2 linked regions of the Kluyveromyces lactis genome follow. The protein of the gene in region 2 purifies or fractionates together with the protein of the main gene of each other region. This does not show direct contact. Links are inferred from orthologs where the notes say so. Each region holds a gene or a part of one and is shown on either strand. Other genes may lie near its edges. The genes, in order: SUI2 and GCD1.

Evidence for each region.
Region 1: the proteins of GCD1 (region 2) and SUI2 purify together in Saccharomyces cerevisiae (affinity purification with mass spectrometry; 10 studies listed by BioGRID, with this or other methods). This does not show direct contact. The link is inferred for Kluyveromyces lactis from reciprocal best matches to the Saccharomyces cerevisiae genes GCD1 and SUI2.

What each region holds. Positions count from the first base shown.
Region 1 is NC_006037.1:1,020,047-1,023,114, reverse strand, and holds SUI2 (translation initiation factor eIF2 subunit alpha), read right to left. Parts: upstream 1,590-3,068; coding exon 681-1,589; downstream 1-680. Other genes in the region: MHO1 (Mho1p), read right to left, coding at 1-52; KLLA0_A11792g (uncharacterized protein), read right to left, coding at 2,020-3,068. UniProt on the Saccharomyces cerevisiae protein: eIF-2 functions in the early steps of protein synthesis by forming a ternary complex with GTP and initiator tRNA. This complex binds to a 40S ribosomal subunit, followed by mRNA binding to form a 43S pre-initiation complex.
Region 2 is NC_006039.1:830,431-833,954, forward strand, and holds GCD1 (translation initiation factor eIF2B subunit gamma), read right to left. Parts: upstream 2,192-3,524; coding exon 707-2,191; downstream 1-706. Other genes in the region: COX10 (protoheme IX farnesyltransferase), read left to right, coding at 1-454; proteasome regulatory particle base subunit RPT4, read left to right, coding at 2,631-3,524. UniProt on the Saccharomyces cerevisiae protein: Acts as a component of the translation initiation factor 2B (eIF2B) complex, which catalyzes the exchange of GDP for GTP on the eukaryotic initiation factor 2 (eIF2) complex gamma subunit.

The sequences.
Region 1 (3,068 bases), on a different chromosome or scaffold from region 2:
GAGAAGAAGAATACCATGATCCGGCATGAGTAGCTGGTCTTACTGAACTCATCTTATTGCGACTTATATCTGTCTATGTGTTTCCCTTTTTTTCTTATTATTTTCCTGGCCTAGCGATGAAATACCATACAGGATCCCAACTAGGCTGTGAATAAATGCAAATTACGTTGACGTTCGAATTAGTTTATTATACACGTTTAAATGAAATACCCGATGTGCTAATGTTACTACATAGAAGTTTCGTTTCGTTGTACTTTAAAGACTTTTCACTCTTTTTTCAAAATAAGGATTTATGGAGCTTCCCTTTATTATTATAAGAAGAAACTAGAAAAAAGGAAAATGGGAGTTTCCTAATGTAAAAATCCTTTAAAACGTCCAGTCGTAATCGAATGGAAAGGCTGACAGTAATTGGCAGATACCACCTGTTCAAATGCTAGAGTAGTTCTCTGCACAGTCAAGTGGAAACATAGGTTTATTACCTGAACATCTGTTAGAAAATGGCCTTTTGTTTTTGTTTCATCTTCATCAGTAAATATAATGCAATGTTAAGTGAAGTAAGAAATGGAGAGAGGACATGCAAAGACTTATAGGTATCGAAACGCTGTATACACGTATAACAACAGGAAGCAGTAGAAGTATATCTTTTTAATTCCTTTTTTTTTGGTTTCACTTTAAACCATCTATTCGTAATCGGAGTCTTCATCTTCGGAATCTGATCTACCTTCTAATTCCTTGGATTCTAATAGTGCTTGTAATTCAGCATCTTCAGTGGCGGTGACAGCCTTTGGAGCCATTGTGACATTACAGACACCATTGTACTTTAGAATGACTTCTTCGATCTTTGCGATAGCAGTTTCCAATAGTTGAACACCTTGATCTTTGTCCAAAGATTGGGTGGTGATGACGTACAATGGGGCAGCCACCAATTTGACTTTGATTTGCATTTGTTCAGTGGACAACTCTTCAGCAGATTTTAGGGCTTCTTTGATAGCATCAATACCCTCGTAACTGAAACATGAAACCTCGACATCTGCTCTGATCTTGACCGCTTGTGGGGTCAATCTTCTGGTGATTTGGCCCTTCAATTCTTGGAAAATTTCGTCGCTGATAGATTCAATACCATCCCAAACGTTAGGGTCCACAATGGACATCTTGTAGGCATCGTAAGCATGACCGTACTTTCGACTTAAAGGCCATGCATAAGCTTTGTACAAATCTTCCAATGATACTTGGTATTTCTCAGCACATTGTCTCAAGATGGAATGTACGGCCTTGGACTTTTGGTATCTTTCTTCACATTTGATGACATCTTCTGCAGAAACACGACGCTTAGACAAATCAATATAACCCTTCTCCTTATCCACTCTTAATACAACGACAACTTCATTCTTACCAACACGAATCAACTTTTGGATAGATCTAATACGTCTTCTTGACAATTCAGATAACAAAACCATACCTTCAATGTTGTCATATTCCAATAATCTAACGTAAGCACCCATTTCAGCGATTTGTTGGACGTTTACCATCACAACATCATCAACTTCAGGGAACTTGTTCTCGTAAAACCTACAATTGGAAGTGGACATCCTGCTCTGTATATCTAATGGCTCTGATGATAAATTCTTGTGTAATTTTTCAATTGGAAGATATACCACAAACTCAAAGAAAGTATACTCTGTTTGTAATCGTTATCTATCGCAAGATACAGATAAATTAAATTCCTCGGTATCAGAGACTGCTCGCGTAAGTTCGAAGCTTAATTGGAAACCTTTGTATACCGATATTGAAATTGCTTTGTTGCTTCAATATTGTATATGCTTTCCAATGATCAATCTTTTCAATTTTTTGATACTTCGCATCACAGTTTCGAAAAATTTTTAGATCTGCTCGTTAAGAGTGATGTACTACACGTGACCTAACTATTATAATTAAGTTTCATTACTTACTACTAATGGCCCTCAGGTATTAAGCTGCAGAGATACTAACTACCAGTAACCCATACTAGATGCGATCGTGCTAAGAAGCGCCAGAAGATTGATTTTTTAGCCTCGTTTTGATTGTTTTGATGTGTGCGAATCTGCGAGACCATGTAGAACAGTGTTCTGACGATACGGACTCGTGCCAAATTTGTGCGAATGTGTTTGCGACAGTACATAAATGCCTGACATACGCTGCGAGGCGCTGCCTATGCATGATTTTGAAGTGGGATGTAGAGAATATACCAGGAACTTCTTTTGCTCTGTAAATCTTCACCTTATAGAATTCACTCACAGAGTCTTTTTCATCTTTGCCGTTCCACATTGGTTTGATGACAAGGTTTATGAAATTGAATTGACTTTTGATTATGTCAAACGGGAACGAGTCCTGTTTTCGTTCATCGTAATATATGTTGATAAAGTTATTACCAACGTGTCTTTTTTTCATTGTTCGATCTGGATCTGCTTTGTCGTCGTTAGGCATTAGGGATACAGTATGGAACACGATTTGACATTTTTGATCATGCCAGATCAACGCGTACTCTCCATCTGTACCAGGATTCAAACCGCCGATGTAAAAAGTTTCATTTTGATCAAGTTTTATTATTGATCCGAGTTCGTTAACAAACCATTTGTATTGATGGGATCCATCCTCCATAGAGTGTGACAATATATCCTTTTCAGTTGTGTCATTGGGTCCCATGTATAGCAATCCAATCTTGTGAAATTCGACCACTGGGATAGTATCAACAAGCTGAATAGACTTTATCAAGTGGGGTTCTTCGATCCGAACCATGTCTTCGTACGTATCTTCTGCACTAAATTGTGCAAGAACATACCCTGGCGTGAACATATTTGCAGAGGCGGGTTTGGTGTTTTTACCAAATTGGAATAAATCAAAACTGTCAGGTTCCTTCTTTACTATGGGATCCACATTGAAGATGGAATTTCCGGATGCACCTCTAGTGACAACTAATGATGCTCCGGTTGTAGTGTTTACTTCTATGCTTAAGATTTTACCATCTCGATACCAGTATTCATGTAAATAATGCGGATCTCCACTGTTGGGAGTATCTGAAGTAACTGTCT
Region 2 (3,524 bases):
GTTATACGCATGGCAATTCCCACATTTCAATACGTTAAGTCACAACATCAGGAATGAGTACAAGAACGCGGGATACGTCATGACTGCATGGAAGAATCCAAAGCTTAATGCTCGTGTAGCTCTGCGATACTCACTTCTGATGTTCCCATTATGTTTTGGTCTTTCATACTTCAATGTCACCGACTGGTATTATCAATTGGATTCAGCATTTGTTAATGCTTGGATGTCACTATGGGCATTCAAGTTTTATTTCCAGCAAAAGCGTAATTACTCCAAGGAGATATACAATAACAAGACAGAATTCAACAAAGGGTTGGCAATGGCCAACGTTTATGCGAGGAGAACATTCTGGGTCAGTGTACTACATTTGCCGGCAGTATTGATTTTAGCAATTTTGCATAAAAAGGACCGTTGGGACTGGCTCTTTGAAGATAAGAAACAACTCTCAGCATAATTTCACACATTCATTCAACATCAGGAAAATCTTACTTGTGAATAGTAATTTATTATTATGTATTTAATTCAGAACGAAAATCATCAATTATTTTGTAAACATAAACTGTAAATATTCAGAAATCCGTTCAAGAAGTTTACACAAGCTCAGAAGATTAGTTATCAGATTTCTATAATTATTAAGGTACACATGGTACGGCTATTTGATCATGATATATGCAAAAATACTCTATTTATAATAATTTACCGAAGTTCAACGGTCGAAGAGTCCATCATCAACATAATCCTCATCGTCATAATATTCATCAGTGTAATCAGACTCGGATCCAGATGAATCTGAATCCAGTAAAGAGGATGCGTAATCTTCGTCATCTATGTAAATACTTGTCAAAGTTTCACCCTTGAGAGTGGATTTTTCATTGACAATATAAGAGCCCTCAACATAACAATTTGTAAGCTTTGATTTCTTGCCGATTTTTGCATTTCTACCGATGATGACATTTTCTAGCTGGGTTTCATCATCAATTTCAACATTATCAAGCACAACACACCCAACGATACGGCATCGCTTTCCTACTTTACAATTGTCACCGAGGACCGAACGTTTAATATTGGTTTTCTCCAAAATTGCACAATTGTTACCAACCATAGAATCTGCACCGATAGCAGAAGAACCATCAGTAGTGCGTTGTTGAATCGCCGTTTGTTTAATCTTCAAAACGTACCTATTGGATTCCATGTATGCACTCAAACTGTTTGATCTGATAAATAATCCGATTTCAGGTAACACGAAGATACCTATAGTTTCTCTGGGTTTCACATGCTGCCACGAACGCCTAGACAAATCCCTGAATAGCTTGCCTAGCGATTTATTACAGTTTATTGGATCTTTGATTAATTTCTTCTTTCCCTTCAAGAAAGACGTGTTCTGGAATGATGTGGCCAAAGAATCAACGGCTTCCGAATCAGAGTCTAATTCTCCAGCACCTTTCTCGGTTTCATCCTTCAATAGGTTTACTAACTCATGAGAGCAAAAGTAAATGAAGGAGTTCAGTAATTTTGTGGATACAGAGGAGTTCGGATATCTCCAAAGCATTTGGGATCTGATTTGTAAATATTTCGTTTTGTCCACATCGTCTTTGGAATAAACGTCTAGAAGAACGGGCTTACTAACAGACTCCAAATTCTCGGAGTATACAGTCAGGAATTGCTTTAAATGCTTCTTATCGATATTCTCAAACCCATTGTGATAATATACTGCCATAGCTAGATTCTCCGGATCTTTATTCAAATACTGATCTAAAAACACCTGTGGTGGAATGTCTGTGATGAAATCACAAGGTAACAACACGAAATCTCCAGTTATCTTATCTAGCAATTCATTCTTCAGACATTCTCCTGTATTCTCACATTTTGAGGGTATAATATTAATAGGAGATGGTTTTTTCAAATAGTGAGCATGGTTCGATCCAACGCTTTGGGATAACAGTCCAAAATAATGCCCTCTCACTTCACGGTATTTTTTCAAACTTTCCTCTAATTCGTCAGCATCGGATGCGTCAATAACTAGATTGACCTCTTTAAATTGGGCTTGCTCACACCAATCTAGTACGAACTCAATCATGGAGCGGTTTGCAACCGGCAATAGAGCTTTGGGAACACCAGTGTCTCCACGAACATTGGAAAACGGTGTTAGCTTCGCACCACGTCCACAGAATATAAAAGCTTGAAAATCCATTGTTCTGTACTATTCTGGGAATATTAAACTGTCTTATCTGGAGATCAACGCATCAATAAAACGTAGAACCCACTATATATCTTCAAACTGTACCGTGGCAGGTCATCATCCTACGTGATGCTTAGGTTAGTCAATACTCCATCTTATATTGAAAAGCTTTATTCCTGAAAATTTCAAAATCGTGCGTAATGATCTCCCTTTCTATTTAGTAGATTCCGAATGCTTTTGCCACCATTCAATCTAGTAACCCATAGTCCAAATGAAGAGAATAGGTAAGAAAGGCCAAATCCAACCAATTGAGTTGAGTCAATCCATTATAACAGTACTAGTCCAACCAGGAAGGAATACTGACAGAATAAAGGTACGGGATTTTTCTCCTTTCATATTGAGAAGCAGGAATAGGAAGATTAAGCTAGTCTGATCAGAATAAATACTAAAGATGTCTCAAGAACAGGATCCTTTACTAGCAGCAATGGAAGAAAACGATGGTGATGACACTAACGGAGCTGGTACCAACTCTAATTCGGGAGAAAATAACGCTGCCGCACCTGAAACGGTGGAGCCTGTGGATCCAGAACAGGCTGCAAAGGAAAAAGCGATGTTACATTTTAAGAAAAGACTTATGGAACACAGACGATACGACGATATGTTGAAGCAACGCAGAGAAACCATACGGGTACTAGAAGCAGAATATGAGAGAACAGAACAGGATATCAAGGCGTTACAGTCGATTGGCCAACTCATTGGGGAAGTTATGAAGGAACTTTCCGAGGAAAAATACATTGTAAAAGCGTCATCAGGTCCTCGTTATATTGTGGGTGTGAGGAACTCCGTTGATCGTTCCAAGCTAAAGAAGGGTGTCAGAGTCACACTTGATATTACTACATTAACTATTATGAGAATTTTACCTAGAGAAACTGACCCATTAGTTTATAATATGACCACTTTTGAACAAGGTGAAATCTCTTTTGATGGTATCGGTGGTCTTACGGAACAGATCAGAGAATTGAGAGAAGTCATTGAGCTTCCACTAAAGAACCCAGAAATTTTCGAGAGAGTGGGAATCAAACCACCTAAGGGTGTGTTACTATATGGTCCTCCTGGTACTGGTAAGACTTTATTGGCTAAGGCAGTTGCTGCAACTATCGGTGCCAACTTTATCTTCTCCCCAGCATCCGGTATTGTAGATAAATACATCGGTGAATCAGCACGTATCATTAGAGAAATGTTTGCATACGCCAAAGAACATGAACCTTGTATCATCTTTATGGACGAAATAGATGCTATCGGTGGACGTAGATTTAGCGAAGGTACCTCAGCAGATCGTGAAATT